Schizosaccharomyces pombe: one gene and its partner. Changing the gene in region 1 together with any one later gene gives a genetic interaction. Each region holds a gene or a part of one and is shown on either strand. Other genes may lie near its edges.

Evidence for each region.
Region 2: of sos7 (region 1) and mis13, extra expression of one rescues a mutant of the other (dosage rescue), as found in Schizosaccharomyces pombe (one study listed by BioGRID).

The regions. Positions count from the first base shown.
Region 1 is NC_003424.3:1,274,518-1,279,822, forward strand, and holds sos7 (protein sos7), read left to right. Parts: upstream 1-1,976; 5' UTR 1,977-2,155; coding exon 2,156-2,329; exon of another isoform or gene 2,330-2,409; intron 2,410-2,419; coding exon 2,420-2,469; intron 2,470-2,523; coding exon 2,524-2,591; intron 2,592-2,602; exon of another isoform or gene 2,603-2,651; coding exon 2,652-2,753; exon of another isoform or gene 2,754-2,795; coding exon 2,796-2,902; exon of another isoform or gene 2,903-2,940; coding exon 2,941-3,234; 3' UTR 3,235-3,267; coding exon of another isoform or gene 3,268-3,575; 3' UTR 3,576-3,622; coding exon of another isoform or gene 3,623-4,457; 3' UTR 4,458-4,483; downstream 4,484-5,305. Other genes in the region: rpl3703 (60S ribosomal protein eL37), read left to right, coding at 1,018-1,252, 1,320-1,354; tRNA-splicing endonuclease catalytic subunit Sen2, read right to left, coding at 3,268-3,575, 3,623-4,457; eos1 (N-glycosylation protein), read left to right, coding at 5,056-5,262, 5,303-5,305.
Region 2 is NC_003423.3:1,153,668-1,157,705, reverse strand, and holds mis13 (MIS12/MIND complex Mis13/Dsn1), read left to right. Parts: upstream 1-2,084; 5' UTR 2,085-2,104; coding exon 2,105-3,094; 3' UTR 3,095-3,402; downstream 3,403-4,038. Other genes in the region: ade7 (phosphoribosylaminoimidazolesuccinocarboxamide synthase), read right to left, coding at 1-588; SPOM_SPBC409.08 (spermine family transporter), read right to left, coding at 3,966-4,038. UniProt on the Schizosaccharomyces pombe protein: Acts as a component of the NMS (Ndc80-MIND-Spc7) super complex which has a role in kinetochore function during late meiotic prophase and throughout the mitotic cell cycle.

The DNA of each region.
Region 1 (5,305 bases):
GGAGGTTAAAGTTGAAGGCAGAAGACAGGCATGTATGGAATAGTGTGTAAACTTTGTTACTACGAAACGATTAATCGGTGCTAAGCTAGATATAAGTTTCTGACGAAAATTAATTGTAGTAATTACAATAAGTAAATATAATTCTAAAGTTTTGATAAAAGCTATAACGCTAATATTGCGTAAACAATTGGATGAAACGAAAACACCCTGGTATAGTAAAGTTGATTTGTTTCATAAATTTTGTATATGTTATAAACAAAACTTTATGTACTTGAAATTATTTTTTATAAAGTGAGAACGCCCAGTTGTTCATTAAAGTACTGCTTGGACATATTTGAACAGAGCTGGAGTACCTAATTTCAATAATTCTTTATTTTTGAAACACTAAAAGTTTTAGAGATCAAAATAGCAATTGAAAAGTATTTTTTTTTTTATTAAAAAAAAAATTTATTAAATTTTCCTTTGTTGGAACATATTTTAGAACATGGGAGTGCCAGTTAAAACTAAAAATAATATTGTTTTGAAAAACTACATCTTAAAGTAAATGATCATCGAATGTGCTGTCAGTACTACGACAAACAGACCTCCGATATAAACCGACACTTTAAGTACTTAAGTTAATTATTATTCTTAGCATCGTATAGATACTGTCAAAATTTTTTGTAAAATATAAAAGTTCAAAGTACTAAAGCATCACCATCATGCATCAAATAATAACGCCCTAGATATTTGTTCACTAAATATGTAAACAAAAGATGATTGAAGTACAGTAACAATAGACGAGCTATGAGAGTAGTGAGGTTTGTTTTAAATACCTTATTGTGCTAATACTGAAACACATTGTAATCTTATCGCGCATTTTATCAATAAAGTAGTGTAGTGTGCACAACTTATACGCTACTTTGTTTGGTAGTCGTGACTGTCTTTCTCGAGGTTTTGCTAATTCATCGTACACATTAAAATCTATCAGTAACCTTCTGCCATCGGCCCTAATAGTTTCGAGAAGCAGTTTCAAAAATGACTAAGGGTACTCAATCATTCGGTATGAGACATAACAAGTCTCATACCATTTGCCGTCGTTGTGGAAAGCGTTCTTTCCACATTCAAAAGAGCACCTGCGCATGCTGTGGTTATCCCGCTGCCAAGACTCGTAGTTACAACTGGGGTGCTAAGGCCAAGAGAAGAAGAACTACTGGCACTGGCCGTATGAGCTATTTGAAGAAGGTTCATCGCAGCTTTAAGAACGGATTCCGTAAGTAATTGCACGATCGGTGGAGATCCTGTTGTATTTTTCGTTTATTTATTAACATTTTATTTAGGTGCTGGCAAGCCTACTTCCGCTGCTACTGCTTAGGTATTGCATTAATCGATTTATTCTCGAAGGAGGTTCATTTCTTTCAATGAGTGAAGTGCGTAGTAATGTTAAATGTATTCATCGTATGCTTATAATGTAATTTAAGTTCAGTAAAAATTGGCTTTTTTGTACCGACTTTGCCTTGTATTGATACAAACGTGATAAATCTTTTTACGTCTTAAAAATAGTCTATTACAGGATATTTGTGGTGTTTCCAGCACCACAAATACTAAAAACCGTGGCAGCAGACATGAAAGGATTTTACGTGCAAAAATAAATCACTTCACTCGTGTTATTTTGGGTGTTTTAATTTCTCATTTTTATCTCTTCCCAATACTTGAAATATAAGCTGGCCAAAGAATGCTGGTAGTACAGTTTGTTTGTGTGATTTTTTCTAGAATTTAAACAATTATATTTGCATTCCATTCCGATATTTTTCACGAAGCATTGTCAATCGGTATTTTAACTGGTAATAAATTTGATACTATGGTGGTAAAAGATAAAAGATAATAATAATTGTTATTTTTAGTATAATATATTACCGTTAAGCTGTTTATTTTGATAAAACATTTTGGTTGTTTAAGTAATTTTAATAATGAATCGTGTTTAATTAATTTATCTCAGAACAAATAATGGTTTCCACTGTTTCATTCTTTTAATGACTCAATTCTGCAAAATATTCAGCAAATTTTATTTATTTATTTATTAGAATTTGGTTTATTAGACTGCAAAAGCTTAAGCATATTCTGATTCCCTGATTTCTTATTACAAAACAATTTCGAGGTTACATCGACGATACCAATGGATCAAAATAAATCGACACAGGCAACTGGAAATGGAAAGAAGACAGAGGAAATAAATGAATTGCTTGAAAGTTTTATAAAAGAAGGTCCTAAATTACTTTGGGGGTCGACGAATTTGAAATACGAAGACCAAATAAGTCGTTCGTCAGAACATGAACTTCAGCAATATAGGGTTCGTGAATTTCTAAAAAAGCATGAGTTTATATTTTATAATTTTTTAAAGATGTCCGTGAAAAAGAAATTGTACTAATTACTCGATTAGGAACTTTTTACTCGATTGAAGTTTTCTTATATCGAGCAAGGGACGAAGGAGTACGTCGCAGATTATTTTTACAAGTTTTAAATATGTATTAACAATTTGAAAAGGAGATATTTAAGAGCCATACTGGATGACCCACCTATGCTCGTTGAAGCGGAAGACAATGAAAAATTAGGTATAATATATATTGAATTTTATTTCTGCAGACTTTTATTTTTACTAATGAGACTTAAAGAAACGACAAATTCTTCTCTTAAGGGGAGGCTTAAATCCGAAAAAAGAGAAGTTGATTTGCTCACAGAAGAGTTAAAGACAACGTCTAGGGAATTATCTTCTAGTATGTTAACTGGAATTTTTTTTACTTATTGACATCTTTAAGATTATGAATCAGTGATGGAAGAGTGCAAAAACACAAAGTCTACACTCTCCAAGCTCGAAAGTCTGGAAAGTGAATTGTTAAAACTACAACAAGATTCTTCAACAAAGGTAATAAATGTTTGGATTATAAGATGCTAAACTTCTAGACTCCCATTTTACCAGAGGTTGAAGCAGCTATTCATGACCTCGAAAGCGAATTAAACATCACTAATGAATCCATAGAAACTATCGATGGGAAGATAGACAATGATGAAAAATACTTTATACAACTAACCAAAAACCTTTCTTTACTTGAAAAGGAATATAAAATAGCTTCTGAGAGGTCTAATCAAATTAAAGCAGCAATCCACACTAGAACGCCCGATGCTGACGCAAAAAAACAAGTGCAAAATTGGTATACCTCGATGCTTGAAATTTATGATCAACTTCTTCAAAAATAAATAAAAAACCAATTTTAGTAATAATGTATGACACTAATCTCTATTCCTGCTAGGAACCCAGCGCCTTAAGGTTACACATCGAATTAAATATTGTCGAAGTACAGACTCTGCCCAATCCCATTCATTCATTGAGGCTTGATTTTTCCATATTTTATTAAAGTCTTCAATGCTAGGACATTGAACATAGCATAATATTAGGCTCTTTTTCACTTGCGCAATTACCCGATTTAGACAATGAACTTCATGCCATTGCATGTTATATTTTTGTTTGTTTCCAACACATGGAATTAGCAAAATAGCAAACTCGGCATGGCTGAAAACTGGACCCTTTTTGTACAATACTATTTCTTGTTAAAAAAATCTGAAGCGATGTATATAATAAACTTACAAAAATCCACCGAAAATTTGGTTCCGTTTTTTACAACCCAACCTTGCTGACGAAAGTAGAAATAAGCAGCCAATTCAGTTAAAAATTTGTTGTCCGGCTCAATAATAGGGTCTTCATGGCTTTGCTGTAAAGAATAATCATGAGTAAGGGCAACTGAATTAGCAACTATGTTGGCAAAAAGCTTTAAAATAGGTAAAAGTTCAAAATTAGGGTTTTCGTAGTTGATTCGAAGGACTCCCAAAGAAGCTAAAAAAAAGGCTTCCGGAAATGTTAGCTGTAGGTGCTCAACATTAGGCACTGAAGTAATATGGTATGGATTTTCGGAAACTCGGGAAAAGTCTTTAAGAGATTTCGTTAAATACTCAGGAAGTTCTGCATCTTCTTCTAAAGATGCTGGAATCGGCTTGCCATTTTCTAATAGTAATTGCCTCTCACGAGCACGATTTTCCCTATAAGCTCTTTGTGCTTTAAATTGTTTTCGCTGAAATCTCCTACGCGCGGTAACTTCCTCAGCTACAAGGTCTTCATCAAATCCAAGAAGTCCCAGCGATCGCTTAGTTCGTGTATGCCAAGTTGGCTCGCTACGAGACAAATTTCCTTTTCCAAAAAAACCTGATGTCCAAAATTTTTTAATAGCTTCACTATCTGTTACAACACAGCTGAGGTCACTTTCATGAAGCTGACATTGCCATTGTACTTGCCTGGGTGTCTTTCTAAATAGGTACCGATATATATATGGTATCCAGGTTAAAGGATTAGTAAGAATAATAGGAGGAAGAGGATAAGCTAAAGAAATAGGGAGCGCATCCTTATAAACTTCATGATTTTTCGACATTTTTTGTGACAGTAAAAGTAGTAACACATTAAATACTAAATTTATATTAGCACATAAATTAGAGAAAAAGTATGTTTGTTTCTCTTATTTGCAGACTGTTCGAGTTACAGATGGCATACATCCAAGAATTGGGTTCAGAACTAGCAATTACTGCAACTACCCTAATTTGGTGGTGATAAATATTTACAATTCTTTAGCTTTCTTTGATTTACACATACCGGGATAGAAATTCTAAAAAAACAGTATACAGGAAGCATTAAATTTAAATGCTTTTGCATAAATAAAACAATTTCTGTATAAAAAAAAACACTTTATTGACATACTAGAGGGCGTTATTCTTAAATTTTTTGTTCCTAAGCCTACTCGTGTTTTTTCTGTTTGTACAAATACTTATACCTTTTGTTCTAAAAGGAATTTAATATTAAGAATCGGTTTCATAAGAAGTTATACACAATTCGGATTTACTATTCTTTTGTTTCAGCTAAACGACTTAAAAGAGCAATTGAATCCTTGGTTTATGGTTTTCACTTATGTTTTATCTCAACTGTTCAGTCAATTTTCATTTCTTAAATTTTTTTCCTTTTTTTAACACTCCTTAATGAAACAGTACTTGAACACAGTTATTTCCAACCCTAGACCAGCACAAGCGTTGGGAATCAATCAACCATTTGTAGTATTTTGCTTTATTACATCTCGTGCTCTTTCATTTGTACCTGCGATTTACTGGTGCTTCAAATGTTTACATCTAGCTTTTGTTGCTGACAAGTTCAAATGGCTCCCATTAACATCGGCCCTATGGACTCTGGTAATAACTCGTGGATAATGCATAATACTAATTTTTATAGGTA
Region 2 (4,038 bases), on another chromosome or scaffold:
ACGGGCTATTTTGTAAAGCTTTACAGAAGTCTCAGCAACTTGTTTGGCTAATTCAGGTCCAACAATTTTACTGACTTCATCAGGATGAATGTTTTCATCATGGCCTTCGGCAGCTTTGGTGCTGGGGGTGAAAAGGGGTTCAGGGAAGGCCTCTGCCTCTTTCATTCCTGTAGGTACGTTAAGGCCATGAACAGTCCCTTGCTTTTGATATTCCTTCCAAGCACTTCCAGTGATATAGCCACGAACAATAGCTTCGATAGGAAGAATCTTGTATTTCTTAACGAGCATGGATCTATCCTTTAACTCTTCATGCTTCGTGATAACAGGAGGTAATTCTTCCCACCTAGAAGTAATCAAATGAGTTTGGACATGAGGTTTTAAAACATCAAACCAAAATTCTGAAATTTTTGTCAAAACCTTTCCCTTCTCAGGGATGCCGTTCTCCATGATAAAATCATAGGCGCTTATTCTGTCTGTTGCTACGAACAAAAGATCATCGGGAAATTCTACACACTCATACAGGTCTCTGACTTTGCCGGTAGCAATTTTAGTGAATGGAGCATCCAACGAAGTTTTTAATAATGCCATTTGAAATGAACTTGATGTAGAAATGAAGGTTTAAACTATTCCACTTGAAGACAATTAGCTTTTGGTATAAAAATAACAAAGTATTTAAAGAAAATCCGTGTGATCTCTTTTCATTTCGTTTTAATATGCTTCTTCTGTATGAGGTCTATATAGTATAACATAGAACATCGATTAAAAATTTCAGAGAAACAAAAGCAATTACAATTATCAAAAAGGATACTATTACATAACATACCACTTAGAATTGGCTCCAAAAAACCCTGGTTTCAATGAATCCAGTTAACTCTAACTTTCGATGTAGTAGAAAGGAAAGATACAAGAGAGATGAGACAGATCGTCGTAGATCTTGGCAATACACTGAGACAGATTAAGAACAGATAATCAGTAAAGATTCTTTTCAATTATAAAGAATTTAAAAATTCCGAAATAAATTCGTATTTGAGGATGATGGCAACCTAAGTAAGTGCTCGAAAAGTAAGTTGTACAGGACATGCTGTGGTTATAAATTCCATGTTTAATTAAAATAAATAAAACAAATAAATTAATAATTATAATAAGAAAACTATTACTTCACTTAAGTTAAAAAGAGCTTTAAACACCGACTACTGTTGCCTTTTTGACTGCAGAATATTTTGAAACAACTTTATATAGGAAGTGTTTTAAGAGTAGGATAATTCAAACTTTTAATTCTTAAAACTATACTGGATCCTTAAAGTTCTGGCTTGTCTGCAAAGCCATGTAATCTAAAATTGGGTACTTTCTGTAAATAATATGCAGCGATTTAAAATCAACAATAACCAGCTAAGTCTGAAAATTACTACAATTTAGATTTTGTACATATAGAATACTCGAATATTTTTCATTATACTTATATTTGATTATTCATCTTATTTATCGTCGCTATATTTTTCAACAATTATGATAAAGTACAAGCTCAATCCTGGCAGCTCATGGACATCTTGACTATTTGTCAAAAACTGTAAACAGTTTTAATGGTAATAATATCCACATTTTGTAATTTGCATAACTTTTCAGCTTAGCATTTCATGTCGCATTCCTCAATTATATATATATATATATATATATATTACATAAACAGTAAACTTGATATAGTATAAGAAGAGGTCTTATGAATTTATAAGGGGAATTAACCAACCATTCAATGGATTATGTTAAAATTATTATTCTTATTATTTTACAGCAGAAAAAAGGATATATATTTTTGTTTTTGCAAGTTCGAAGATAATCTAGCAATTAAACAAATATTTTATACCAAGTTGTAACAAGTGTATCTCCAAAAAGAAAGGAATACTTAACAGTAAAAAAGAATTTAATCATTATTTATTTTTTTATTTATTCTCTACATGAATATACTTTGCTTTGATGAATTTTCAATGCTCAATTGTAAGGCCGACTTATAACGCGCTCGCTATACTTTGTTAGGTTACCTAGTGTAAACAATGAGTAAGGTAGTCTTTGCAATCCTGACTCGACTTGACCCTAACCAGCATCCATTATGAAACGAAAGCCTGAAGAGCAGGAAGGATTTGTATTCGTTAGGAAGGGTAAAGAAAAAGCTGGTTCTAAAAGAAGGAAATCATCTGTGGAGGATGATCCAGATACCTCCCAAACCGATGGGTTAGTTGAGCTACCCGTGTCTGATACACCAATTGTGAAGCGAAACAAAGAACTTCGCAAGGGTAAAGGAAGAAGGAGTAGTCTTGACCAACGGGGTAAGCGTGCTAGTAGCATTGGTACTGGATTTGAAGCTTTACCACATGCAGATGTTCCATCGCATGAATACTATCGCCATATATCCAAAGACTTATCCGAACCTTTACGTATCAAACAACTTCTCCTTTGGGCTTCTTCAAAGGCCTTAGAAGAGCAAAGAAAAAAATACGGTGAAACGGAGGAAGCCAGTGAGGCAGCTATTGCTAGATCAATAGTTCAAGAAGTTCTTAACGAATTATTGGCTAATAAAGTTAGTGTTAGTTGGTATCAAAGACCACCTGATGCTGTAATTCCTAATAAACCTCATCCTCAAAATCTCAAAAATGCTCAGCTAGTGGACGAACTGTCGGCAAAGCTTACCCAACTCCATAATGAAGAAGCTGCATGGCGGGCTGTTGCTGCTAATTCCGTCAGTTCAGATAAATCAATTTTATCTTTTAAAAAAGCTGTAGAATCCATAGATTCTAAACAAGACCTTGATAAACAGGACTCTCCATTACCCCCAGATGATGCACCAGAACTTCCTAATATAAGTAAGCTGAAACCAAAATTCCACACTCTCCTGGACATGCTTGCTGAAAATATTCATACCTTGCATTCTTTGACTAACGCTGGACCTGAAGTCCGATCATCATATGGTCGCCTTGCTGCCCAGGATTTCATAGCCCATCGTAAAAGTTTGTTGTCCTTCTCCAAATATGTGGATACTATGAATTTATTAAGGCTTTTATCAGAAGCTTCCTATAAATCTTCCTCAAACGAATCAGTTTAAAATTGGATTAATCTGATACTGTTATGCCCAAATTTTTACTTATTTTTACGTTAATTTTATGTCTTTTTGCGTGCCATTGCTGCTAATTAACTAATAATGAAGGTGTGCAAACCAGCTGGACTGTGTTTGAAAATTCATGTTATACGTTATTTCAAAGGAACTCCTATAGTAGTAGCGCGCACTCACATTACTATCTACACTCAATGTACGATACATAACTGCTACTATTCACCCAATATTTAGAATTTATCAAAGGTTTCATAGTTAATTAATTTGAAATATTTGAGAAATAAATAGCTTTATCTCTAAAGTCTATATTCTATAATTAAATTTTAAAAAGCGAGAGCAGACATCGTCGCAGGTTTCGAAACATGTAACGTGTAATTAACAATAGCTTTATGATAACCAGAATACACGTGGTAAATTCCGTCATAATAGTAACGTAAAACTTTCAAACACAAAACCGCATACATGAAATTAAAAAAAAACCACGATTTCTATGAAGCTTGGACATTATTTAAATATTAAGGCAGCTTCTCAAACGCAACGGTGCACCAATATTGGAGACAAATTCAAGAAATCCCAAACCCAAACTGAAACTGTGGGGACATGAGCTAAAGAATTTTAAAAAATTTTAGCAATGGATAGGTGGAAGCATGCTTAAGGAACATATCTAAGTTCACTTATGGAATGATCCCTGAGGCGAAAAAAGCAAAGCAGCAAATTCTGACCGCTTTACGAAGCCAAGATTGTTGGCATATCTTTTAAAAAAGTGGGATAGCCAACTGAAATAATAGAGGCTTTAAATTCCTTGCATGTACACAACGCAAACCAAATGCATAACGAAAAAAAAGACACAAAACAAGCTGTTTTAAACAATAGCGGCCTTGGATCTAGCCCGAATCTTATCACCAAACAAGTAAAAGGTGAAAGGAATGGGAATA